Elephas maximus indicus: one gene and its partners. The protein of the gene in region 1 interacts with the protein of each later gene in a pairwise test. Links are inferred from orthologs where the notes say so. Each region holds a gene or a part of one and is shown in the gene's direction. Other genes may lie near its edges. The genes, in order: ALAS1, LONRF1, TMSB10 and ZMAT1.

Region 1 (7,174 bases):
AGAGCCACTATTGTTGTCATTACCTGTCGGTTGTATTACCATCCTCCCTGACTTACTCCTCCTTGCCCCTGCCTACCCAGCACTCCTCCTCCTCTGAGCCTCCATCACTCCCTCCATATTTAGGCAGAAGGGTTGCTGGGTAGGTCTTCAAATCCCTTCAGAGCCAGAGAGAAACGAAGTCTCCAGGCAAAGGTTGTTAATCACATTGAAAATGTTGGGATTTATGGTAGCAGTTGGCTGGGTTTTTGGCCTTCTGCCCCACCCCTCCTTGTCCCTTCTCCCCTTGCTTTCTCTGCTCCAGCCTCCCTGGCCCCCTCTGTCTCCTCCCCGACACTGGGCTCCTCAGCCTTGCCTGGTTTGTCCCGGACAACAGCTTCTTGTACCATGTCCCAGCCCCAAGGTGGTCCCCTTCCGCCATTCTCTTTCCCGGCGCCCTTTCCAACACTGGTCACAGTCTGTAATGGCTCCTGTCCTGATGTCTGTCTCCCCAGCAGCCTGAGAGGCCAGGGGCAAGGCTCCTTCTCACTGTGCCTCCGGCACCCAGCCAGAGAATGGGCTCAGCCAGCTCCTGTCTCCTGCCTTGACCCTCTTACCTCAAGAGGCCCTGCTCTGACCTGATAGCATGCAAGGTCTGGAGGGGACGGGACAAGCATTTGGGACCCCACCTCTGGGCCAGTTCCTCCTAGAGAGCCCCTCACAGCCAGCCTGACCCTTTCCCTACCCAACTCCCAGTCCCTCCCAAGGACTGCCCCCTCCAGGGGCTCTGAGGGCAGAAGAGCCCAATGTGGGGATTAGAAAGCAGGATAACTGTGCCCCACAGCAGCCCACACCTCACTTGCTATGCGACCTTGAGCAAGTTTTCTTCCTTTCTGGGTCTCAGTCTCCCTGGCTCTAAAATGGGTTAGGGCAGGAGACATACACTCAGATGCCTACAGGGCCAGGCAGGTGTCATGGCTTGGCGGTCACTTGCCCTCAGAGTTTGGACCTACTAAAGAGGGGGCCTGTGGAGAACTGGAGAAAGCATGTCCTGCTCTGTCAACATTGTTAAATGTTGACAACTAATTTGCATTTTTAAAAAGTACTCTGTGGGCCAAACAGAACATGTCTGGGCCTCATGTTGTGGGTGTTAGGGGTCCTCCTGGGGTTCCTGGGGAGGGAGGACAGTGTTTGTTCTCTGGGCATTTCCTGCTTTCTGGGGGGCATCTGTTCTCTGTACCCTAGACCTGCCTCCTTGATGTTTTCCTCCACTCCAGCCCCTTTCTCCCGCAACCAACCAGAGCCTAGCCCTTGCTCTAGGAGCTAGCTTCACAAACCCAGGCCCAGGCCTGCCCTGCCCTCTCAGGCTGTCCCAGGCCAGCTAGAGCCTGAGGGGGTTCCAAAGGCCGGGCCAGGACAAGGCAGATGTGGGGGGCCTCAGAACCCTCCAGCCCTGCCCAACCTCTACACTCCATATAACCTAACGACCCCTTGGCCTGCCACCTCAAACCCTGAAGCTTATGACTCCAACCCTCCAGGGCACAGCTGAGCTGAGGTGTTTCTAGAACCTCTAGCCACTCTGCAGGGCTAAGCACTTGTCTCCTGGCACCAACCCAGTGCTATGTACACAGGCACTGACACCTGAGGAGAACAGCGAGCCCAACCAAGGTCATGCCGAGCATGAGCTGCACGGGTTGCAGGTTTTGTCTCTCTTCAAGGCTTTCTCATTCCTACCCTGGGTCTCCTTGATGGGAAGGCTGGCCGGATTTCTTGTCTGGCTAACAGATGGGGAAACTGAGACCCAGACGATAACAGTAAGCTTGCCCAAGGTGAATGGGTGAATACTGGGGCTGGCGTTGACATTTTTCTTCTGCCGTGACTGCTGGGCTGATGCTGTGTGCAGCAGCCCTTGCTGGTGATGACGCAGACTGGGGGCCTGACCTTGCCCAAATTTCAACCGCTTGGGCTCCTCTGCCCAGGGCCAGGGCGATAAGATAGGTTTGTAGGCTGCTCTGAGGCTGGGGACAGGGAATGAGGGAGAGAGAAAGGGAGGAAGGAGAGAGGGAAGTGAGAAAGGGAGGGGAAAAAAGGGAAGGGAAAGAAAAGGAAGTGATTAGGGAGAAAGGAGGAAGAAGGCTGAACTCAGGAGAGGGATCATCACTCAGGCAGGTGGAGTAGCTTCTACTTCACAGGTATAAAAGCTGAGGCTTAGGGTACAGAGCAATTTGCCCAGATCCCAGGGTCAGAAAGTGGCAGAACCAGGATTAGAACTCATGGCTTTAGCCCTTGTCCTTTTAGGTCTCAAACTGGAAACCACTCAGGCAGTATTTCCCAAAATGTGGCCCGAAGACACCCCACCCCTGCATCACCAGGAGGGCGGCTTGGTTAAAATGCAGATTCATGGGACAGAATCAAAGGGGCAAGACCAGTATCTGTGTTTTAAATAGCATCCCGGTGGTGGGTCTTAAGCTCTGATGCCGGGAAGCCCCACAGCTTGTTTGTAACCTTTCTAATCCAACTTTCCAGCCCCATGTTCCAGCTGCCTTCCTCCCCACAGCCCAGCTATTTGGGCTGACTCACACTGCCCCCCACTCACTCTGACAGGCCTGGGCCTTCCCCACTAGAGACTTCACCTACCAGCCTCCCAGTCTCAAGTAGACCCACCCTTCCAGCCAGCACCTGCCTCTCCTCTGGAAGCCTTCCTGGTGATCTCCCTTCCTTCAGAGCCTGCTGGAGTAATACCCGCCTCCTCCATCTGGAATTGTTTAGAAATTCTATTTCACTTTCCGTGTGAGTATGCCTTGTTTCCCAACCATTCTCTCTATTAAACAGGAAACTCCCAAAGGGCTGGAGCCTTGTTGCTTTAAAAATAAGACTCTGAAACCCATGACTTCACCTAACCCTGTGGCCAACCATTAAATAACAGGGGTGGGAGAGCTTTATAAATGAGGAAACTAAGGCTACCACCAAGTGTAATTCAGAGACAGGTATGGAACCCATGTCCAGTTCCTAAGTCCAGTTCTTTCTGCTTCCACTTTGCCTTTGATCACCCAAACAGCCCTGTGAGACCAGCACAATGGGGATTAGATTCTACTGCACAGATGAGGAAAGTGAGGCCCAGAGATGGGCAAAGCGCTCAGCACCATCCTTGCCTATTCCTACTTCTAGCTACACTTGGGTTTGAGTTTAGGTGCTGATTTTCCTCTTTCTGTCTGCTGGGCCCTGCCCAGGCCCTTCAGCAGAATGAGGCAGAGTTGGGCCTTTGACTCCCAGGCCAGAACCCTCACCCTGGGTCCCTGACCTGGTCCCATTGCCACTCTGGACCCAGGTGCCTCCTCTGCAGATGAAGGCTCACTTCTGGCACAATCCAACTCTAAACTCTGGGCAGGGGACTTTGGACAGACCCAGTGGAAAATAAACATAATAGTTAACATGTGTTAAACCCTAACTATGTGTCAGGCCCTGTTTGTCTTCCCCCTTCTCCCTAGCCCAGAGGTGCTCAGTTAGTTGTGGAGTGGATGGGTTCCATCTGGCCCTGTTCAGTCTTCTCTATGCATCAAGGTTGAGTCTCTTCATCTCTGACCAGAAAGTGCCAAAGCTGGTTCTCCCTACCCTTCTGCCCCCCTCCCTCCCACCACCCTCACCAGCCCCCTGGGCATCCTGGCCCCCAGGACCACGACATCCTTCGGCGCCCCAGCCCCACCTCTCTGGGAAGTCCTCTGTCACATCCCCACAAGGACGGATTCTACTTAAGACCCTGACCCCGACCCCTTGTATTGCCTCCTTCTACCCTGCCCAAGGCACCCATTTTCACAGTTCCATGGAAAGGACAACAACCAACAACAATAACCCCAGTTGACCATAGTGCCACTTCCTCTCCGACCCCTGACCGTTTATGCCCCACAATGGGGGTGTCGGATTCTGAGGGACAGAGCAGTTAGTTGGGGGGCGGTATAGCGTCGCTGTGAGTCGGAACCCACTCGGCCGCAACAGGTTTTTGTTTAGGGCGTAGAGCCTGAGGTCCAGGAAGGAGACCTGGCCCGCCCACCGCCTGGGCGCTGCCTGGCGGCGGGCGAGCCCGGAAAGCCCCCGCCCCAACCGCGCCCATCGAGCTCTCGCAGGCAAGTCTCCCCGCCCGGGCCTCCAGGCTCCGGGAGCGCGACGCGGCGCGCCTGCGCAGAGGGAATCCGCGTTCATGGCGCATGCGCAGCGGTCCCTTTCACTGTATATCAGGGCGACGGCGCTCGCGGCCTGAGGTTTCTCGCGGACAAGGGTAAAGGTTTGGCTCGCTTTCTCGGCTCGGGTGCCAGCCGTCGCCGTCGTCTCCGTAGAGCCCCCCGCGCAGGTGAGGACCCGCGCTCTGGGTGCGGGGCCAGGAGGGGAAGCCCGCGCGTGTCCTGCCAGCCCGGGCCCTGCTCCCGGACGCCATCCCCCACTGTCCGAGCCACTCGCCGCTTCGGGGTCAACTTTCATCCCGAGACTTTTTGCCATTTTGGTCGCCCCAGCTTCCCCCATTCGGTGCCCTCCTGACATTCGCCTTTTAACTGGCCGCTTGAGAATCCCTTCTGATCCCCTTCCCGTTATTCCCAAGCCGTCAGCTCCCGGGTAACCTCTGACCCCCATTCCCCGAAGACCGCCCCCTTCCACCAGATCCAACGCCCTGGATTTTACAACCCCTGAAAAAAAAAAAAAAAGCCCTCCCCGGTTAGCCCCAAGGCGCTTCTCCGCGGATTCCTGCCCTTGTTTATGTCCCCTCTTTTCTCAGTTATGCCCCATTCACCGGGCTGTGGCGGAATGAGCTCATGGAAGTCCTTCCCTCACAGACTTAGGGCCTGCCTGGAAGCCTCCCTAAGATTTCGAGGTGTGGGGAACAGGAGAGGATAAAGGCTCCTAAGGTCCAGCCTCCCCCACGTCCAAGCTGTCAGGGAGCAGAGACAGCTTTGCTTGTTTGAATGGATGACCGTGGTCCTTACCAGCTTCTCTTCTCCCCCTGTGTGTCCACCAAAGTGTCTTTGCTGTGCATCTCCCTCCAGGAGCTTCTGACCTCCCAAACCTGTTCCTGGCTCATTCTCATCATCCCACACCCTATGTTATTAATTGTCAGTATTTGGTGAAGCTGCCTTGCAGGTGTTTTTGTATAGAGCTGGAGAATGAAGGAGGAGTTGGTGACCTGGATAGAGAGTGGTCACCAGCCCTTGGTTGAGTCTCACATTGGTGCCGTCCTTAGTTTTGAGCAAGACTTGTTAGTATCCCAGGGTACCCTTGCTATAAACCGCGGGTGACACCTAGTCCCCGGTGACCTTCGCAGTGGTAGTTGCCTGATTATTAAGAAGTGTTGATGTCACTCGTCAGTCTTTCTACAGGAACCAGTGCACCTCCCGGACATGGAGACTGTTGTTCGCCGCTGCCCATTTTTATCCCGAGTGTCCCAGACCTTTCTGCAGAAGGCAGGCAAATCTCTGTTGTTTTATGCCCAAAACTGCCCCAAGATGATGGAAGCTGGGGCCAAGCCAGCCCCCCGGGCCCTGTCTACTTCAGCAGTTCACTGCCAGCAGGTCAAAGAAACCCCTCCAGCCAATGAAAGTAAGTATCATTGGCAGTAAAATGGGAGGGGGTAGTCTGCACTCATTACTAGACCGGGAGCACTTCCAGTCCACGGTGGCACTGAGGTTCACACTAACAGAGGGGTTACTCTGTGCCAGGTTCAGCTCCTTACACCCGTCACTTCATGGCTAGTTCTCCTAACCCCATAGGAGAGGCACTTGTAGTTTTCCAAACTTTCAAGATAGGACAGTGGCCAGCTTTCTACCTAATAGGTCTCTGGATTGCATGTCAGTGTGTGTTGCAGTTTTAGTGTATCAGCAGTGCCTTATTCATGTAAATATTAAATTGTAATATTTTATTCCAACCTTCATTAAATACTTGGCCTTTGGCTTTTTTTTTTTTTTAAACACGTGTATCTATTTCATATATACTTTTTCATTTTGTTTTGTTTTTAATAAAGAGACCACAGTTGAGTTTAGTTTGGATCTGGCTCTACCAGGAGAGAATGCAGCTTTTTAGATTCCACTTAATCCTAGAAAATACCTTACGGACTTCTCTCAGGTTTGTCCTCTGGGTGTGGACTTGTGAAAAAGGAATTTTTTTTTTTCCTCTAAGTAGAAAGGTGATACCGTGTTTGTAGGAGTTGTTTTCCTCTTTACCATTGTTCAGGAGCTCTGTTGTTATGTCTTTTTACTGAAAGACCGAAATCCTCTTTTATCATTTTGCTCCTAACAGTAGAGGAATAGTTGAGTAAAATGTGGCTTGTCCACTTGGTGGACTACTATGCAGCCATCACAAGTGATGTTCATAAACTCTATTTACTAGCTTAGGCAGATCGTTATAATGAAAAAAGCAGAATAGACAAGTATATAGAGTATAAATTAAAAAGTGTTTTTAAAACATGTACATAGAAAAAAGTTAATATGCTAAAATGTTTGCAGTGGTTGTTTTGAGTGATGGGACTGTGTTTTGGTTTCATTTTCTGAACTCTCTGACGAATATGTATTTTATAATGGGATAGGGAGTTGTCTTAGTGTGCGTAGTGAACTTCAAAGTAATTTTTTTGGTTTTCCTTTATAGAAGATTTTAATGAAAACCATACCCAATTTGTAAGAAGGGCTAGCCAGTGATTCACAGGAGTATTCCAGAATTGATGAAGAGATAAGGAAGGTGAACTAATTCGCTGAAGGGGAGAGGGTAGTCATTGTAACTAGAAGCTTAATTACCAGCCAATTGCGTTAAGTTAATGTACTTCTTTGATGCATTTAGATAAGAAAGTAGATGAGGTGGGTGAATGTAATTATCCCTTTTTTCCTTAAAAAACTAACTTGTATTATTTTTTCCTTAGTGTACTAATATTTGAACTCCGCTAGACAACAGTCTAACAATCTCAGTTTTAATTTAATTTCTTTTGTTTGGAAGAAAACCAGTAGTTTGTATGGTAAATGATAACAAACTTCTTTGTCAAGAACTTCTTTAGAAAATATTAGCAGAGCAAACATTGTATAAACACTTCTAGTTACCTTAAAAAGTGTGTCCTGTCATGAAATACGCTGAATGTACTTAGAATAGAATTTACTGGAAATAATCCAATTCAGGAACTCTAGGTCGTCTAAAACTAGAAAATACAACTTTTTAGTATTTATAAGTGAGA
Region 2 (7,343 bases), on another chromosome or scaffold:
CAGAAGTATATCACCAGTCTTTTTTCTCCAGAATATAGCATATGCATTTAGTATACCTAGATTCTTCAGAGTGTTAAAGAAGAATTCAGAATAGTATCCTTGGTAAGGGTATTGTCCCTTGAGCATTTTCACAGTATCCCTTGTGGGATAACAGTGTAGTTTAACAGTGAGCTGTACTTGGTGAGACAGAAGTCATTGTAAGAAATTAAGTTTAGGCTTCTACTTACCATCACCTCTATTTAACCTATTCAGGTTATCCTCATTCGGGCTCTTTGCTGAGAACACCATTATAGCAATCATATACTGTGTATTTTTAGCATCTTATATAAACTTTCTCACAAATGCCCAGATTATATAACCAGCCACTCCTCCCCCCAGAGGCTTACCTTCAGCCTCTCACAGATCTACAGTAGGGACAAGGAGGGGGGTGTGTGTGTGTGTGTACGTGCACGTGTGAGTGATCCCTATCCAACCACTGAAAAAATTTACGTTCCAGAGTTTGATTTCCCCTCTGCTGAGCAGGGCTGAGAGCTCGCTAAAAACAAGTGTGCTCCTTGGTTCCCTCGTCTATTCTCAGCCTTCATCTTCTGCTGTTACATTTTCATCAGGTGTCACATTGCTGTGTTCCTGAGTCTGGGAGGCTCTGCCTCTTCTCACTGGATTCCGACAAATTCCTGGGGCTCAGCTCCAGAGGTGCAAGGGACCTTAGAGATCCTTCCAGTTCCCTCAGATGGCAAATGAAGCCCAGCGAAGCCAGGTGAGCTCCTCCCAGGTACAGAGGCATCAATACGGTCAGCACCACGTCCGGATGCCCTCTTCGGTATGCCTTCTAGTAAACCAGCAGCTTCTCGGATCTTAGCTGTCTCCTGTATAAAATGAGGGCTGTGAAGAGGTGGTCTCAATGCCCCTCCCATCTGTATATATAAAAACACTATTGGTATGTACTGATGAAACTTTAGAGTTCACTGTTTTCAATATATCGTGTAGAATGTTATCCACTGAAATGAACCAGAGGAAGTGGAGGTAATTTTGCTTGGCTCTTTTTCTTCATAGCTTAAACTCAGTCTCCCCTTTTTAAAGATAAGATGTGAAGAAACAAATGATAAATTCACCCATGTAAAAAAAAAGAGGTTCCAATGCACATGTTCGGCTAACTTATGTACAAGGAAAGCCCTGTTACATTACTGCTAAATAGAGTTTACTTTAACTACATCAGAACGGTCTTCTTGTGGCGTGGTGGTGGGGGGTGGGGGACAGGGATAAGCAGGAAGGATGGTGATAAGCATTTTCCAAATTAGGAAACAGTTACGTGTTTCTTGGTACTCTCTTACATAACTGATCTCATTTTAGAAGACAACACTAAAAAAACTGAGATGAAATACAAATCTCCTGATTTCACTGCTTTGTGAGCAAAGAATATCAGGAGAGAATAATGCTGGAAGGAAAAAGAGGCAGAGCTTCGCCCCGTCACTCTCCTCCTGGCCAAGCGCTGCTTCACAGAATTTCCTCCTCTCCCCAGTGAGTCAGAAACCAAAGTCTAAATTTTAGAAAATGAATGAAGAAAGACACCAACTTCTCTCTCTTTTGAATTTAAACAGAAACCACATTCAACTGCATATCTCTTTTGGGTGACACAGAATAACTGGAGAATGACCCGTTCTATCGCCGAGACATCGCCGAGACTGCCTTGCCCCACACTGACTTGCGGCTTCAGAGGGAAGGTGTGCGAGGCACACAGACCACAGCAGCAGCACAGCCTCTTACATAAATAAGTTACATAAATGCGAAGGAGTTATGTAAATGTATAAACCAGAAAACATCAATTGTAACCATTCACAAATGCCAAGGAGAACATGGCTAGATTCCTCCTACAGCCCCCCCCCCTTTTTCTCACATTCTCATAATTGTGCCATTTTATTTCACAACAGAATTAGATTTGGAGATTTGTCATACTTATGAGGGAAAGAAACTCCAAAGGACAAATGCTACTTCACAGTCTTTTCTGAATCACACATTTGACTTTGGGGGGAAATTCCCTAATACAACCGGAGTAATCTGTATTTGGTAATTTATGCATATGTATCAATGTCTTATACTCCTTGTGTGACCATAAAAACATCTATTTATTAAATATTTACCACTGTACATTGTTGCAAGTTGCTCTTGATGACAAGAATGCACCCTAAAAGTTAATGTTCACAAGCATAGGGATATTTTTTCTGGGACTTACGGTTTCAAGTCTCAAATGAGTGTGTGGGCATCTGACTAACGTCATTGTTTTGCTAATTGAGAGAAGGTAGCAATGTAAAGAGTTGGGATTAGATTTGAGGTTATGATCATGAATTAATCACACTAACCCCTTCCCCCAAATAATTAGGAGTTGCCATTTTTTTTTTTATAAACCCTGGTGGATACCCCGGTGGCATAGTGGTTAAGTGCTACGGCTGCTAAACAAAAGTTTAGCAGTTCGAATCCACCAGGCGTTCCTTGGAAACTCTATGGGGCAGTTCTACTCTGAATCGACTCAATGGCAGTGGGTTTGGTTTTAGTGGGTTATAAACCCTGGTGGCTTAGTGGTTAAGAACTACAGCTGCTAACCAAAAGGTCGGTAGTTCGAATACACCAGGTACTCCTTGGAAACTTTATGAATGTAGTTCTGCTCTCTGCCCTATACGGTCACTGTGAGTCAGAATTGACTGGACAGCTATGAGTTTTATTTTTTATAGGGTTGCTATGAGTTGGAATCAACTCGATGGCAATGGGTTTTTTTTGGGGGGGGGGCTTAGCCATAATTTGCTTTGGGTGCCACGTGAATGATAACTGAACTTGCTTTCCTCTGCACTGGGTTGAAGCAGGAGCCTCAACTTTTTCTCAGTCAACTCTTCTTCCTCATACCTTCTGGGGAAACAGAGCTACACCTTCTCTGAAATTACATGATTTGCTCAGTGTGTAGTAAAAACAAACGGGATTGAAAACGTGGTTTTGAGTCCTAACTGCTGTTGTGTGTAGAGGGGTATTAATTAAATATTAGCCAATTTCAGACAAAGCATGCTCAGGTTAACATTCCAGTAAGCAACTCCCTTTACTTTGGAAATCTCGTGTAAATTATTTCTAGAATCTAACGTAGGAACATAATAGTGGAATGAGAATTAGATGACCTTAAAACCTCTGTAGAATATTAGCCGTGTGATTTGGGGCAAATAACTTCCCCTCTCTGGGCCACCATTTTCCATTTGAAAAAGGACTAAAAGTTCTCCAGTCACTTCCGGCATTGACAATCTAGTATATAATCAAATCTATAAACGTTTTCAACTGAGAGCTTTAAACTTGCCACTGTCAAGTTTAATTAAAGTCAATATAACCCATTATATATAAATCAGGTCATTTTCTTCTGTTGTCAAAATGCAGACCCTGCTTGGGTCATAGTGATATAGTAACCCTGCCATATGAAAAGCATTTTTTCCTCATTTCTTTTTAAAACCACCCCCTATAGACCTTTTTTTTTTTTTATAGACCTTAGCCGGCACTGGGGGCAGTGACTGAGGTGTGGCGAATACAGCTGGCATACCAGAAACCTGTGGGCTTCCCCCCTCGAGCTAGGGGCTGGGTTTTAAACAGGAAAAGCAGTAACTTGGCATCAGGGCTAACTGCCTTGCTCTCTGGAGGGCAGTCGCCTTAGGAACGTGGCTGGTTTTGTTCGTTTGTTTCTAAAGTTTTGAGTCACCAAGTCATGCGGCTGACTTGACGCATCCCTAAGCCCTCTGCCTGTACATACCATCTGTAACTTGGGGCGTAAAGCAGAGCTGCACCTGACGACGGCCCCACCACGCGTGCAGGCTCCCACCAGCCAGGAATTGGGGGCGGATCCTCGGGTCCCCACCCAGGTGGGCGGGCGTGTCAGGGGAAGGTCGGTCCTTCAAGCCTCAGACCCGCGAGGCTGGCTGCCCGGCCGGAGGGCCGGCCGAGCAGGGGCTGGAGGAGAGACGAGGGCAGAGGGCCTAGCAGGTGGGGAAGTCCGGCGGTTAGGGAAGGGGAGGGAGGTCCTTTGTTCGCCAACAACTAGCCGGGCCCTTCTTTCCTCAGAAGCCAATTGGATCGGCGCTGGGGGATCATCTGACCTCGGTCCTCGCCAGCAGGGGCTCGCGAGGGGCGGGGGCCGCGCGGTCGGTTGTCGCCGGCCGAGGGGGAGCCGAGCCCGGCCCCGCCCCGCCCCGCCCCGCCCGGCCCGGCCCGGCCCGGCCCGGCCCGCCTCCGGGGCTTCCCGGGCGCGCGCTGCCCGCCGTGTCCGCGCGCCACGCCCCCCTGCTCGCGGGCCGCGTGCGGAGCCGCGCGCCCCGGAGGCTCCGGGAGCGGGGCGGCGGCGGCGGCGGCGGAGCAGCAGCCGTCCGCGGGCCATGTCGTCTCCGGCGGTGGCGAGGAGCGGCCCGGGGGGGAGCCGCGAGGTGGCCCCCCGGCGCTGGGCAGTGGGCGGCGGCAGCGGCGAGCGGCTGGAGCGCGGGGAGCTGCTGCTGCGCCGCGGCGAGCTGCTGGCGCTGGGCGGCCACCTGAAGGGAGCGCTGGAGGCGTACTCTGCGGCGCTGCGCCGCGGGGCCCCCGGCAGGCCCGAGCGCCTCGGCACCTTGGTGGACTGCCTGGTGCTCAACTACCGGCTCCGGCACGGGCTGCGCTGGAGCGCGGCCCCGGCTGCGGGCGCCCAGGCCGGCGCCGCCGGGCTCCTGAGCTGCCTGGGCTGCCGGGGCTTCCTGAGCGAGCCGGTGACCGTGCCCTGTGGCCACAGCTACTGCCGCCGCTGCCTGCGGAGAGAGCTCCGCGCCCACTGCCGCCTCTGCCGGGCCCGCCTGCCGGCCGCCGGTGCCCAGGGGCCGCCGCCCCCGGCCGCCGCCTCGGGCTTCAGGACCAGCGTCGTCCTCAACCACCTGGCCGAGAAGTGGTTCCCGGGCCTGCGGGAGAGGGCCCGGGCGGCCGGCCGGCTCGGGGAGCTGCTGCAGCAGGGGCGCTACCGGGAGGCCCTGGCCGCCGCCTGCGAGGCGCTGCGAGCAGGTGACCGCGGGGAGCGGCGCGGCCCGGCCCGCCCTCCCTCCTCTCCCGTCTCCGGCCCCTCGGGTCCCGGGGTCCGCGCGGGTGTGGGAGGGGCGGCGCCCCGGAGTGCTTCGGTCACAATGGGGATCGCCCTCGGAGCCGACTGTGACGCGGCGCGGGGAGGGGCGCACGGGCGCGGAGTTCCCTCGCCGGCTCCCTCGGCCAGCGGCCACCGCCGGGCGTCCGGAGCGGAGCGGGGGCCCGGGGCCGAGGCGGCCGAGCGCGCGGTGGGCAGGGAGGTGGGCCAGCCCGAGCGGCCGCCCGCTTCCTGCCGCGCTTTCCGGGAATTGGCCGCCGCCGCGCGGGCCCTGGGGAGCCCGCCGCGGGGAACGACAGCCGGGGCGGGAGAGGCCCCCACCCGCGGCCAGGCGTGCAACGTTTACCTTCTTCTCCCACAAAAGTCACCCGGGCAATGGGAGCCGCGGGAGGGCGGAATTGCATAAGCTTGGGGGGGGGGGGAGTTGTGTAACGGGTGACGTCCGGTGGGCGTGGCGGGAGCTCCTCTGGCTCCGGCACCCCAAGGCTCCCCTGCCGGGCCCCGGCTTCGGGCGATGCAGGCGCTGGCCGGGGCGGCCACCCCTTGCCTGAAAACGCCTTCAAAATTGGTCGCTCTTCTTGAAGGTTTCCACCTTCCTGTTTCAATTCATCTATTTCATATACGCATATGTTTGTTTTCGAATGCACCTAGCTCGTCGTTGTAAAGACAGAGGCAGCCTTTGATGGAGTACTTTGCCATGCTTTTGTGTGCCTTTCCACTCTTGATCAAACTGTGGGGAGAGCTTTGTAGCTCTGTTGTCTGTTTCTTCATCCCCTGGAAGCTGCTTCTGTCTTCTAACTTAGGCTAACACTTTGCTTAAGGTACCCTTAGTCTGCTGGAAGGAAGCAATGGCCAACGCCCCTCCGTAAAATGAGGTGTTCTTCTAAGTCGATGTTTCTCAGTTGGAGGCAGCTGGAGGGGGGGTTCTTCAGGACAGTTGGCCACCAGGATAGACTTTTGGTTGTCATAACTTGGGCTGGCACTGGTGGTACTAACATCTAGTTGATTAAAGTCAGTATGCTGCTAAGCATCACAGGACAACCACCCACCACAAAGAATTATCACGCCCCACATGTCAGTAGTGGCGCTGTTGATAAGCCTTGTGTTATATAAGCGTATTTCAAGAGTTTAGTGTCTATATATTGGAGTAAGGAGCCCTGGTGGTGCAGGTGCTTAAGTGCTGGACTGCTGACCCGAAAGGTGGGAGGTGAGCGATTGGAACCCACCAGCCACTGTTGGGGAGAAGATGTGGCAGTCTGCTTCCATAAAGATTATAGCCTTGGAAACCCTATTGTCCTATAGGGTCCTGATAAGTCAGGGTCACTGTGAGTCAGAGCTGACTCAACGGCAATGGGTTTGGTTTTGTTTGGATTTGTATATTGGAAAGGAATAATACTTAGGTGCGTATTTCCAAGAAAATAAGAAGACATTTAAAATACAATGTTAGGAATTAGGTAAATTTATGAACGATGTACCTGAAAGTCTATTCTGGTTCGTCTTTTCCCTAAGTGCTTAGTCATTTTGAACTAGTGACAATAACTTGAATAATTTAACACTTTCAGGGTTCAAAGCGCAAAGTCAACATATTTCCATTTTCGTTCAGTATCGTTTTGAAGAGTAGGCACTTAGAAAATAGAACGATAGACTCAGAACAGATGACATCTATCTGGAGTACAGAATTCGTGTATGCAGGGCTCTGCCTCTTGGAGGGGCTAGAGGGAGAGTGGGGAGTGATAGACTCAGAACAAATGACATCTATCTGGAGTACAGAATTCGTGTGCGCAGGGCTCTGCCTCTCGGTGGGGCTAGAGGGAGAGTGGGGAAGCTGGTCTCAGCTGTGCAGCCCATGTAGTATCTCGCCATGGGCCTCATTTTAAAAAGGAAGAAGCAGGAGCCTGGCAGTGAAATGGCTGGTCCACACCCACGCAGCTAGCAGGTCTCCTAACTGTTCTGCTCAGTGTTGGTCCTCTTCTCCTAAATGTTGGTCCAGGATCCATAGCTGCCTTTGTAGCTCATCCAATAAAAATGTTTAATATAAATTTCCAAAAAAGTTTTTTTTTTTGGTCACCAGTATAATTTTTTGAGCATAAATTAAGAGGATGCAACTTACCAACAGCACTATTCAGTATTAACTACTACTGAACTAATGATTATAACCTTCTCTTAAGTTAATAAGTGTACATTCTTGCATCCCTTGAATTCTTAGGGCGAAGTAGGACAAAGTCTT
Region 3 (5,759 bases), on another chromosome or scaffold:
GCCCCAATCCAAAACCATTACCCTTGAGTCAATTCCAACTCATAGCAATCCTATAGGACAGAGCAGAACTGCCCCACAAAGTTTCCAAAGAGCCTGGTGGATTTGAACTGCTGGACTTTTGGTTAGCAGCCATAGTACTTAACCACTACACCACCAGGATTTCCAAAAGATTACAACTTTGGAAATTCTATGGGGCAGTTCTACTCTGTCCTGTAGGGTCACTCTGAGTCAGAGTCAACTTGACGGCAATGGATTTGGTTTGGGTTAATCTTTATGGAAGCAGACTGACATATCTTTCTCCCTCAGAGCTGCTGGTGGGTACAAGGCACCAACCTTTCGGTTAGCAATTAAGCACTTAACCAGTGCACCACCAACTCCTTTTCTGCCCCGTAAGAGTCCTATCTAATCTTTCAAGTTGCTGTTGTCAGTTTGATCCTATATAGATCTTAAAAGAGCGTAATAGTCGATGCAGACATTTTTTACTACTTAAGCTAAACTATTGTTTGGTTTTAAGAAGACTTCGGGATATTTTTGGTTTAAGGTTTAAAGATTACCTCAGAGCAATAGTTTCAGGGGTTCACCCACACTCCATGGCTCCAGAAAGTCTGGAGTTCATGAGAATTTGAAATTCCATTCTGCATTTTCCGCATTTTGGTTAAGATTTTTCTATAGAACCTTTGACCAATATGTTCAGTAGTGGTAGCTGGGCACCATCCAGTTCTCCTGGTCTCATGGCGAAGGAGGCAGTTGTTCATGGAGGCAATTAGCCACACATTCCATTTCCTCCTCCTATTTCTGGCTCTCCTTCTTCCTGTGTTGTTCCAGGTGATTAGAGACCGGTTGTTGTGCCTCAAATGGCCTCTTTCAAGCTTTTAAGACCCCAGGCACTATGCAAAGGACTAGGAGATAAAACAGAAGCACTAAACACACTATTAGGTCAATTAACTGGGATGTCCCAAGAAACCATGATCCTAAACCTCCAAATAAGGAACAAAATCCCATGAGGTGTTTGCTTGTACATAAGCAGCCTCAGCAGCTACTCATTTACGTGTGTGTGTGTCATCGCTGTAAATATGTCTATCATACAACTTTTGCCAATTCAACTTTTTGCAGGTGTACAATGTATTGACAGCATTTGCGTAATTGGCTGTGCAACCCTCCCCTTAATCAATGTGATTTGCCCATCACTGTGCACCAACAGGATACATCTTCTCAAACGGTGTGAGGGGTATAAAGAACATACAGATGTTTTAAAACCACTACTGACCCACAGGATTGCTGTGAGTCGGAGCTGACTCAACAGCACCTGACGACAACTACCCATGGGACTGGCTGATACTAATAAATCTGACCACTGTTAGGTAACAAATGCCAAAGAGGTTGCCTGCTTTCTGAGAGATGGGCCACAGAGCTGCACTGAGGAAAAACGGGAATGTCTGCCAGCCTGCTTAAAGCTCCTTTGTTTGAGAATCCTGCGTCCTTGCTATCTTTGAACTTGTGTCTCCATACCTATATATTTAGAAGAACCGATTTCTTTGTTTCCCAAATAAAGGGAAGTTGGAATTGGAGTTCACCATGGGTCTATGAAATTTCTGCCCCATGGAAAGTAATTTTAATATTCAGGGCAAGGTCTCAGCTAGAAGACCACTCACTGAGTGAATAATACTGAAACTCAGACACTTAGGAAAATTGAATATTTCCATGTTTAGGTTAAAGATGGGGAGCCAAGAAGGCGATGCCTAAGTAATGCTTGGCATTGCATCTGAAAAGGAATCGAGTGCCAGTGGAGCTCTCCAAAGAGACACTGTCTTGGTGTCCTGATATTTTTAAGCTCAATTTTTGGCAGATCCTTCAACAGTGTATGGTGGAGACTGCTCCAAGTACATCCAACCTTGCTTTCTTTTTTCCTGGGCACTCAACTAGACTGCATTTCCTACCCTCTGTTGCCATTAGATGAGGCCATGTGACTGAGTCCTGGCCAAAGAGATGAAGACAGAAGTGATGGAGATTACTTGCAAACCTGGACCATAAAACTGCCAGCACAGCCCTCCATCCCCTCCTTCTTTTCCCCATCCACTGACTAAATGGAGTGGACTTCCAGGACTTAGAGAGGGGCAGTCACAAGAAAGAAGGGACCCGGGTGCCTAAATCACTACATGTAGGAGACCTGCTGAACCAGGAACACCAGCTTAGTTGCATGAATGGTAAATGAATTTTAATTGTATTAAGCTGCTTTGGGGCTATTTGTCACAGTAGTTCGCCTTCCCTGACTATGAAGTTGGACTATTGTTCAGGGAATATTGTGTTTCTCCCCCTCCACCATGAGTGGAAGGTATCTCCTCACCCCATTGATGTTGGATTTGGACATATAACTTGCTTTGGCCAATGGAATATTAGAGGACATGAGGCTGGCCTGAAGTGCATTTATACATACTTCAACATGTCTACAATCTCTTGTGGCACAGCTCTCTTGCTGTTTTGCCATCACCCTGAGACGAACAAGCTCCAGCTAGTGCCCTGGTCTAAAGAGGATGAGAGATCCAGGGAACAGACCTGGATGCAATTCGAAGCTTGGAGCCAAGCTCAGCCTAGCCCAGCCCAGCACCAGCTGACATACGGATGCCTGAGCAAGAATAAATGATTATTTTAAGCCACTGAGTTTTGGAGTAGCTTCTTACATAGCATTTTTGTAGTAACAGTTGACTGATACACAAAGTGAGAGTGTGAGGCCACATTAAACGACCACTTAATGCCTGTTCTTTATCACATTTAAGCTTTATGTTGTTGCTGCTGTGTACCTGTGAGTTGATTCCAACTCATAGCAATCCTATATGACAGAGTAGAACTGCCCCATAAGGTTTCCTAAGCTGTAATCTTTACGGGAGCAAATCATCACATCTTTTCTCACTTGGAATAACTGGTGGGTTAGAACTTCTGACCTTTTGACTAACAGCCATGGGCTTATAAACCATTGTGCTACCAGGGCTCCTTATTTAAGCTTTATATCAACCCAGTTTTACAGATGAAGAAACTGAGGCATAGGAAAAGACTTGCCCAAGGTCACAGAAGGAGTTTCCTTTGCCAAACTTATAAGCCTAAGCTTCTCCCCCACTGTCCCAAATACACTAAGTGCATGTGAGAAAAGTAGATAAAATCAGGAAGGGACTGGACAGAATTCAGGATGTTCCCACCAAACCCCTCCTTAACAGAACTTAGTAATACTCCCTAAGGCTTGCAAAAGGAAAGTTCAGGTCAAACAAAACAATGACCAGCTTCACCCCGTGGGTTGTAAATGTATGGAATTTATTACCTAAAGGTGTTGCACGAGCTGAAAGAGTTGAATAACTGCACTCTGCCACTGCTCTACTGGGTTAATAGGAAAAACAAGAACGTTTCCGGGAATACAGATCTAAGCATCTTCAAGGTTAACTCAAGGAGGAAAACCGCACCCTCCGACCCAGTGCTCCTAGGAAGCCTGGGAAAGGCCTCAGCCCTCTCGGGACTCCCCACTCCCACCACCACCCTTCAGACAACACAGGCGACAAGCATTTAAGAAGCACCCGCCGCCATGGTTCCTGCAGGGCCCGCCCCGCTCAGGGAAGGGGGACAAGAGGGAAACTGGCCCCCGACCAGAGCAAAGGGCACTGGCAACCTATGGGTCCACCTCTCCCCGCCCTCCCTTTCAGCTCTAGAGCCCTCGGTTCGGACCGTTTTGGTGCGAGACCCAGCAAGGACTCAGCCTCCCGGAAGAAAGGAAAAGGGTGGGCGGGGGAGGGGTCTGGAGGGGCACAGACAAGAGACTTGGGGACCACACAGAGGTGGGGTGTCTTCTGCCAGCAAGGATGGCCGCAGAGCACGCGTGCACGCTCGCACATCCACACCCACAACCACACACACACACACACACACTCACACACTCCCCACCCACACCCCTCCCCCGCCGGCCTCCACGCCCATTCTGCGGGGCAAGCAGCAGATTCCCAGCGGGGCGGGGCGGGCCGGGGTCGGGGGGGAGAGAATGAAGCCCGGGGCCTTGGCGCCAGAGGCGCCCAACCTGGGGGTAGGGCGAGCTGAGGGCGCCGGAGAAGCAGCGCCTCAGCCCGCGGGCAGTCGGGGGAAAGGCGCGGCGGGGAGGTGAGCTGCCCAGCGGCCCCGCCCCTCCGGTGCCGGCCCCGCCCCCGCTGCGGCGGCCGAGGGGCGGGGCGGAGCGCGGAGTATTTAAGGCGAGGGGCGGGCGCCGCTCTTTTGTCTCTTGCTGCAGCGGCGCGAGTGGGAGCACCCGGAACCTCGGCTGGGAGCGGGACGCCTCGGTGAGCGCCGTGCTGGGGCGGGGGCCGACCGCGGTGGGGCCGGAGCCGGAGCCGGGCACCCGGCAGGCGCGCTGCCGCCGCCACAGGCGGCTTCCCGGACGGGACGCCCGGGCCGGCCGAGGGCTACCGAGGGGGTTGCGGGACGCGCCCAGACCCTCGGCCTTGGGGCTGCCGGGAACGCCCCGGCAGGAGTGCCACGTCGAGAGGCGTCGGCCAAGAGCGCCGAGGGGGACACGGGCCCCCAGCCTCGGCGCGCCACGCCGACCGCTTTGGTTTGCCCACTAGGATCGTTTTAAGAAAATGGCAGACAAGCCGGACATGGGAGAAATCGCCAGCTTCGATAAGGCCAAGCTGAAGAAAACGGAGACGCAGGAGAAGAACACCCTGCCGACCAAAGAGAGTGAGTGCGCCCCCGCCTCCAGGCCCTCGGGCCCCCAGCCCAGCCCCCCAACCCGCCCTTCCCGTGCCAACCCGGGTCCCCCCGCCCATGTCCCCGGCCTGGGCAGCCCCAGTCCCCCTTTATATTACACAAAGTGCCTTGTCTCCCCAGCCCCAAGCCTCTTTCTTAATCCCCAGGCCTCGTGGGTGCCTCGCCCACACCAGGTTTGTAGGCGCCGCCGTTGGGGATTTTCGAGGTGCCTTCCTCCCCCAATGCTCGCTTCCCGCTCTCCACAGCCATTGAGCAGGAGAAGCGGAGTGAAATTTCCTAAGAGCCTGGAGGATTCTCCAACCCCGTCATCTTTGAGACCCAAGTTGTGATGTGGAGGAAAAGCCACCTGCAAGATGGCACGAGCGACAAACTGCACTGTGAACCCGGGCACTCCGCTCCGATGCCACCGGCCTGTGGGTCTCTGAAGGGACTACCAAATTCTCCGGTTTGCCCTGGATATTATAGAAAATTATTTGTAATGATTAATGAAAATAAAACACACCTCGTGGCATGGCTGGCGTGGTCTGAGTCTCTTAGTTAAGCGTGCAGGGACAGTCCCTCTGTAGCAAAGCTCCGCGCTGGAGTCTGAGTTCCTGCTGCGGGGCGGGGCGGGGGTGGGGGAGGTCGAACAAATGGCTGGCTCTGAGAGACCATTTGTAATTTTGGCTTTGTCTCTTTCCCCAGAAGATTTCTTGGGTTATCAGCTGTTGCTTATAATGCAGTTTTGGTAAAAATCCAGGTAAAATTTAACCCCACTGGGTCATTCCTGGAAGCTGCTTTGGAAAATGATTTTCCAAAAGAGCAGGATCTGTTTTTGACAAGCTTTTATAGTCCCGCTGTTTCCCTCTGGCTTCCTCATAGCTGTGACGCATACCAGGAGAGGACGCATACCAGGAGAGGACGGGTGATTTCAAGACTGGGAAGAAACAGGAAAATGATCAAATCAGGGATGTGGAAAGTTGAGTGAAGTCACAAAGTCTCGAAGAGGCCTCCTTTTTGAGTTTAAAAGAGAAGACATT
Region 4 (7,393 bases), on another chromosome or scaffold:
CACTATTATACAAACTGGAGAAATAGTTTAAACCGAGAAGAAAACATTCTTTTGTGGTTACGAGAGGGGGAGGGAGGGACGGTGGGAGAGGGGCAATCACTAATTAGATAGTAGATAGGAACTACTTTAGGTGAAGGAAAAGAGCACACAATACAGGAGAGATCAGCACAACTGGACTAAACCCAAAGCAAAGAAGCGTCCTGAATAAACTGAATGCTTTGAAGGCCAGCGTAGCAGGGGCAGGGGTCTGGGGACTATGGTTTCAGGGGACATCTAAGTCAATTGGCATAATAAAATCTATTAAGAAAACATTCTGCATCCCACTTTGAAGAGTGGCGTCTGGGGTCTTAAACGCTAGCAAGCAGCCATCTAAGATGCATCAATGGGTCTCAACCCACCTGGATCAAAGGAGAATGAAGAACACCAAGGACACAAGGTGATTATGAGCCCAACAGACAGAAAGGGCCATGTGAACCAGAGACCTACATCATCCTGAGACCAGAAGAACTAGATGGTGCCCAGCTACAACCGATGACTGCCCTGACAGGGAACACAACAGAGAACCCCTGAGGGAGCAGGAGATCAGTGGGATGCAGACCCCAAGTTCTCGTAAAAAGAGCAGACTTAATGGTCTGACTGAGACTAGAAGGACCCTGGCGGTCATGGTCCACAAACCTTCTGTTGGCCCAAGACAGGAACCATTCCCGAGGCCAACTCTTCAGACATGGATTGGACTGGAGGGTGGGTTGGAGAGGGATGCTGGTGAGGAGCTTCTTGGATCAGGTGGACACTTAAGACTATATTGGCATCTCCTGCCTGGAGGGGAGATGAGAGGGTGGAGGGGGTTAGAAGCTGGCGAAATGGACACAAAAAGAGAGTGGAGGGAGAGAGTGGGCTGTCTCATTAGGGGGAGAGTAACTGGGAGTGTGTAGCAAGGTGTATATGGGTTTTTGTGTGAGACTGACTTGATTTGTAAACTTTCACTTAAAGCACAATAAAAATTATTTTTAAAAATGAACATCACTGTTTAGCTAGTCAGATTAATTTCTATGTCAATCATATTAGTTATTTGCCACTAAATTAGGTTCTAATTATTTCTTTCATTTGCACATGCCTTTAAATATATTGTTTGGTGATAATGACTTCCCCATATTATTCTGAATAAACCATTATGTTTCACTGTAAAAATAATAAAATTACCACTGATATGGTTTTGTTTTTTGCTGATTTCTCAGATGTGCAAAGATATGCTCCTTTATTTCTTTTTAGCATCTCTTACCTCCACTTTAGACCCAGTTGCCTCCCAGTTTTCTTTCTATGGTTTGGGGCATTGGTAGCTAAAATTCATTTCAACCAGTACAGCCCCCTCCCTGTGGTGCCATGATGTAAACAGACCCTTTCACTCACTAGATTAGTAACTATGGAAAAGTTTGTTATACCCATAAGACTGTGTTTTGCGTTCTTTAAATGATCCAAATATAACATCACTATTGTGAGAAGATTGGGAAATTATGAGAAATGTCTGGCCCAAGCAGGCTTTCATCAACTATTACTCCCTGCCACATTCCACCCTCTCCTGTGAAAGAAATTGCTCTGGCGTTCACTTAATAGTGTTACTGTCATAGAGAGCAAGATAGGAAAATGTGTGCTCATTGCCATCATGTATGACAGACTTAGTGGCGTTTTCCTGTTGTGGCATGTCATCAAATGGAGTTGAGGAATGGGGAGAAATCTAACTGACCACTTCCTTTATCTCACCCACTACCCTTTCTACTCTTTTTAGTTGAATAGCAGATAAGAAGTTTTCCACAGAGCCTAGGAAAGAAGCAATTCCATAATTCAACAAATGTTTCTTGATTGCTCTAGTCCAAAGAGATGCGCAACTGCTATTGCCACACAGAGGTCAAGGAACTGCAGAAAACCCCTGCTATTCTCACAGATCCTCCAAAGCCTTTGGATGCAAGAGCTGCAGAAGAATACTAAGGCCACCACAAAAATTTATGTTTTACAGCTGCCAAAGTCCACATAAGAAATGGCTTCTACCTCCATTATACTTAAAAAAAATCATATGAATGCATATTGTTGGTGGTATACATATGATTTAGGTATACAAATGCATATCTAAACCACATTCAGAATTTTGCTGGCCAAGAAGTCTGGGAAATTGACAAATGTAATTCATGGCTTCCAACCTCTGCAACACGGGGAGAACATAGAAGGGGATGGAAAGGCTTCAAAGTGCCAGCTGATAATATCTGGAAAAGTTCCCTGAGCTTTTCTCCTCTAACTCTTCCAGTTTTTTAGTCCCTAATTATCAATATTAAATATTTTCTGTTCAAAATACAGAGCAATTTCTGTTGTGCTGACTGTATCCTGAGTGATACACACTCCCCCAGAGATTTTGATTGAATAGTTGTTATGCAAATGAAATATGATTCATATTTTGAGAAACAATGCTGTTGAGGGATACTCCCCCCTCATATCACAAGGAATAATATTACACCTCCTTTTGACATTTACTTTGTCCTAGTAGCTATTTCATTGGAATATACCTTGTGCCTGGCCCATCCAGTAATTTCTTTGATGAGTAAAAGTTACACTAATTTATAGGACAAAACGGAGGGCTAGAGAAACCACCCACCAAGTCAAGTAACTTTAGGTAAACTAGTGAACCACAAGAACAATATGTTCTTAAGAACCCAGTATTCCAAGTCTCTGAATTTCTTATTCAGCTCTAGCCAATCGTTGCCAGCCAAGAATGCAAGCCCCAAACAGCCAAATTTTGAAATGTTTTTAAGAATTTTTTTTTTTGCATAAAACCCTCCTTTCAAATGTTGGCACGTAAGTAAATAAACAATCATGTAGGTAAAACACAACATATATGTGGGCTGGATGTGGTCTAGCGATCACTAGATTGGGACCTCTGTCCTAGGGCTTTATTGTGCTGGAGTAAGAGGAATCAAAAATAAGAAATACTGTCCTTTGTCTCAAAATTACCCCAAGCTATTAAAAGAGAGGCACAAAGTACAATTCATTACAAGATAAATATGCTCAATATACAGGTATAGCACAGGAGAGGGTGGGATTAACACTAAACATGGACAGAAAAGATTACCTGGAGGAAATGATGTCTCATCTGGGTTTCAAAGTGTGTTAATTACACTGATGCCTAGTGCAGGGAAAAGGGAATTTTAGGCAGAGGGAACGACATATACCATTACATGGAGTCATGAAACAGCATGTATTTACAGGAATCTGCAAAAAGGTTTAATATTACTAAATTAAAATGAAAGCAGAGTGGAGAGGTAGCAACAGTGGAAGCAGATGAGATCAGGATGGTTGGGGAAAGAGAAACGTGCAAAACTGTGCCCTTTGACTTTATCCAGTAAGTGATGAATGGCAGCAATGTGGGAGTAGATTCGAATGACTGAGACCAGAGAAAGGCAGACAGTTGCCATATTTCTGACAAGAAATGATGAAGACCTGGAATAAGACAGTGGAAGTGAGACTGGAAAGGAGAGAATGCCCAAGAGAAATTTTGCACAAGTGAACCAGGAGACATGTCCATCAAGAGGGAAATGGATGGGATATTGTATAGCATTTACAATGTATGAAGTATAGCTACATGTGACAACATGGATGAATCTTAGAAACAAAATGCTTAGTAAAATAACGAGTCTCAGAGTGCTACCTAGAAAGGATATGAATTTTTGTGAAATTTGAAAACGATCAAAAGTAAACAACATTCTTTAGGCATATCCATATGAGATAAGAATATATGTAAAAACAGCAAGGGAATAATAAACACGAATCAGGATATTGGATTCTTTGAGAAGCTTGAGGGACAAGATGGCGAGATTTAAATTATCAGTAATATTCTAGTTCTTTGGTTGGATACGGGATTCACAGACGTTTACTGTATTATACTTGAACATGGGTAGACTGCAGTTGTTTATGGATCATTGATGACGATGTGTTATTCGCCATGCCTTCTGTTTATTTCTATTCTACTTACTAACGGCTAAAAGACAGGGAGAGCCATATTTCAAGGATATTTTGAAGATGGAAGCGACAGGTTCCCAGACTTCTTTTTTTTCTTCTTAAACTGGTTTTAGATTACCTCCTCCAAGGAAAGACGCCTCATTGTGTGAGGTCCCACGTGCTTTCGCATCCCGCGTTTTTTGGCCTTTGTCCTTGGCCACCAACCCTTCTCCTCCAGAGGGAGGTGGAATGACGCCAAGGGGGGGGGAGGGAGGAGTCGGGCTGTGGGGCTAAAGCTTTCCTATTGGTGGGCAGAAGGAGCGAGAACAAGGCTGGAGCTGAAGCGAGGAAAAGAGGGGCCGAGGAGGCGGGGCTCAGGGGAGGGGCAAAAGGAGCTTAAGGGGAGCGAGGCGCAAGTGCAATTGTCTGCGCTTTGCTGCGATGGCGGCGCCGAGCACAGTCATCCCGCCGGCGGCGGAGTCTGCCCCTCAGGAAGCTACCATCTCTGCCGCCTCCTCCTCCTCCTACACCGCCTGCGCGGCGGCGGCCGCGGCGGCGGCGGCGGCGGCGGCGGCGGCGGCGGCTGCAGCGATAGTGCCTGCCTCCTCCGCCACCCCCACCCTTGCGTGGCCGCCCGCGGGTGGCCGTGGAGACGGCGGCGGCTTTGGAGGTTCCACTATGGCGGCGGCGGGGTGGGGGGGCAGTAGTTTTAAAGTAGACCCCCGCCCTTGCCTCAGAGAAGGTGAGTTCCCGCCCCGGGGTGCGGGAGCAGCCCCATCTCCGCGGCTGCCTCCCTTCAGCCCTTCGCAGTTGGAGCTGGGCGCGGTTCGCCACCGCCCCACCCCCCACCTGCTGTGGCGCAGCACAGGCCAAGCTCGCCCCGCCCCGCCCCGCCGTATAAACCCCGAAAGTGCAAGATGGACTGAAGCAAACGAGGGCTTCCCTACCTGTCCCTCCCGCAAAGGATGGGGGCCCCCAGGAAAAGAAACTGCAGGTACTCACGAGGCAGGAGTTTGAAGGGACAAACAAAACAAAACAAAACAATTTCTCTCCCAGCCAGGACGCCTTCGTCAGCTATAAGACGCCGAGATGTGATTTGGAAAAGAGCGCAGGCAAGGTAGAAGTGCTGTGGAACTAGAGGGTCGGGAAAAGGGAAGGGGACTGAGGGAGAAACTCAAAGGTTGAGGGGACAGGTAAAAGAGAAAAGGCCAAAGAAATTCAACATTCTGCGGTGTCGAAACTTGGAGCAGGATATTTAAGGAGAAATGTGGTTAGGCATTTGGAAAGGTTAGTGTCCACTTGAGCTTTAAAGTAGCATCTGTTGTATTTTAGGATCGTAGGGTCTGATGGAGGGGGTTCTGCTGGAGAACCAGGAGAGGAAGAGAGTGCGGTAGAAGTTAAGAATTCAGGAATCACTTTGGAGAGTTTTCCTTGGTTGGTAACTTTGTAAAGCAAGGTTTACAGGTCCATCTTTAAGGTGGTTTGGATTTTAATAAGTGCCGTTGTACCTACCAACACATACTGTTCAGAAGATAAGCTGTTTCTTGGCTATCAATATAAGTGATACTTAGTTCACACAAAGTACTATATACTTGTAAACAGCCTACTACTAGGAAACTGTAAGATATGCCATTGGAATGTGTTTTAAAACAGTTTTCGAAATGCTTCTTAGATGGTGAAGACTGATTCCAGTGCAGAGGATCTCAGTAAAGCATTTTGCCGTAGTTAATTTCTTAATTTCCAGTATTTGCCGTGTTAACTTTATGTTGCTCCTTGCCGCCAAAGTGAAAGATCGTGCGCGCCAAAATAGGGTTCAATGATTTATTTTTTTCTTAGACTCCCCACTAAAATAACCCCGTAAAAATAATTCTCTCTTCACATTCTTAAAAGATCCATCCCGGGTGCTATCCTATAGCCTTTCACACCTTTCGCTTTGGAAGAATGGCAAAGCAGTTAAAAAAGAAAAAAAAAAACCCTTCTAATATTTGTAACAGGCACATTACATAAATGCCACTTAGTAAAAATGGAAGCTAGAAATACACTGTCATGTGATGTTTTATTTGCTGATGCTCTTACTGAAGGCAACCTTTGAAAAACTCGTCAATATCTTCAGTCAGCCTGGGTTTGTACCACTGGTTCTCGGATGAAAACATGAAATCTCCTGATTTCTTGCTTTTACACCAAAGTTCCTGTCTGTTACCTGCACGTAGGCCAGAGCAGTTTTGTAAGTGTTGAGATCATAATCCAATTTGACTCTCATAGCCTGTTCACAGTAAGGTTTAGGACCAGTATCTCAAGGGGAGGGGGACATCTTTTTGCCTGGCTCTGCAACTGGTTTGTTTGCAGTGCTTTTGAATATACATATTAAAAGTTTAAGAGATACCACTTAAAAAAGTAACAGAAATACCCTAACTCTCCTTATTTTACCACCAAACTATTCTGTGCTAGGTGGTAAAATAAGGAGAATCCTGGTGCAGTGAACATAGGTTCTGTTGCTAGCTTATCCGCTAGATAAACTGGATCCCTGATCAAGTCCCAGGTTTCTTGGATTTGGGTTTTGACATGTCTGAAATAGGGAAATTGGACTAGCCAAACTCCCAAGATTGATTTCAGATCTGAAAGTCGAAACCATGATTTTGCAGTTCTGCATTGGGATTCTTTCTCTGGCATTTCCATTGCTGTGCACTAGAACAGGAATTCGTAAACCGTAAGAAACTGTAACCAGTAGTAATCACCGGACATTCCGTGAGTGATGAAATCTGTGTCGAGTTAGTGTTGAGACAGTTCAGGTGAAAAACAAAATATAATTGTTACCTAAAAAATTATCTCATCATTCTGTTTTTCAGTAAATATCCTTCACTAACAGTTCAGCCCAAATTAAACTCTCTTACCTACTCATTTAACAAATGGTAAATATTTGCTATATTGCACTGTCAGAAACACTATTAGACCTCAAAATAGTTTTGTTTAGATATTTATAAAGGCCATAAATAGTTGCCGGTTACAATAGTGGATAAGAAGGAAGAGAAAAAACATTACTTGTTAATTTTAAAAATAAAATTTATTTTCATTGTTGAGAACATACGCAGCAGAACATAGGCCAGTTTAACGGTTTTGGAATGTACAGTTCAGTGGTGTTGATTACATTCTTCGAGTTCTGCAACCATTCTCACCCTCCTCTTCAGAGTTGTTCCTCTACAATTAATACAAGCTCACTGCCTGCTAAGTTTCCTATCTAATCTTTCTAGTTGCTGTTATCAGTTTGATCCCATGTAGATAGATCTTAAAAGTGCACAATGCTCAAGGCAGATATTCTTTACTAGTTAAGCTGAATTGTTTTTAAGAAGAAGTCAGGGAATATTTTTAGTTTAAATTTGTTTTTTTTTTAAGTCTTATTTAGGAGATGGCTCTA

Evidence for each region.
Region 2: the proteins of ALAS1 (region 1) and LONRF1 interact in binary tests that used the Homo sapiens proteins (3 or more experiments, as listed by UniProt). The two-hybrid records come from large-scale screens. The link is inferred for Elephas maximus indicus from reciprocal best matches to the Homo sapiens genes ALAS1 and LONRF1.
Region 3: the proteins of ALAS1 (region 1) and TMSB10 interact in binary tests that used the Homo sapiens proteins (3 or more experiments, as listed by UniProt). The two-hybrid records come from large-scale screens. The link is inferred for Elephas maximus indicus from reciprocal best matches to the Homo sapiens genes ALAS1 and TMSB10.
Region 4: the proteins of ALAS1 (region 1) and ZMAT1 interact in a two-hybrid assay, tested with the Homo sapiens proteins (2 studies listed by BioGRID). The two-hybrid records come from large-scale screens. The link is inferred for Elephas maximus indicus from reciprocal best matches to the Homo sapiens genes ALAS1 and ZMAT1.

Annotation. Positions count from the first base shown.
Region 1 is NC_064838.1:56,393,069-56,400,242, forward strand, and holds the start of ALAS1 (5-aminolevulinate synthase, non-specific, mitochondrial), read left to right. Parts: upstream 1-4,168; 5' UTR 4,169-4,321; intron 4,322-5,328; exon of another isoform or gene 5,329-5,339; 5' UTR 5,340-5,360; coding exon 5,361-5,559; intron 5,560-7,174.
Region 2 is NC_064840.1:72,302,149-72,309,491, reverse strand, and holds the start of LONRF1 (LON peptidase N-terminal domain and RING finger protein 1), read left to right. Parts: upstream 1-4,320; 5' UTR 4,321-4,394; coding exon 4,395-5,040; intron 5,041-7,343.
Region 3 is NC_064835.1:49,756,143-49,761,901, reverse strand, and holds TMSB10 (thymosin beta-10), read left to right. Parts: upstream 1-4,211; 5' UTR 4,212-4,310; intron 4,311-4,595; 5' UTR 4,596-4,610; coding exon 4,611-4,710; intron 4,711-4,985; coding exon 4,986-5,020; 3' UTR 5,021-5,253; downstream 5,254-5,759. UniProt on the Homo sapiens protein: Plays an important role in the organization of the cytoskeleton. Binds to and sequesters actin monomers (G actin) and therefore inhibits actin polymerization.
Region 4 is NC_064846.1:56,256,376-56,263,768, forward strand, and holds the start of ZMAT1 (zinc finger matrin-type protein 1), read left to right. Parts: upstream 1-4,371; 5' UTR 4,372-4,422; coding exon 4,423-4,975; intron 4,976-5,006; exon of another isoform or gene 5,007-5,098; intron 5,099-7,393.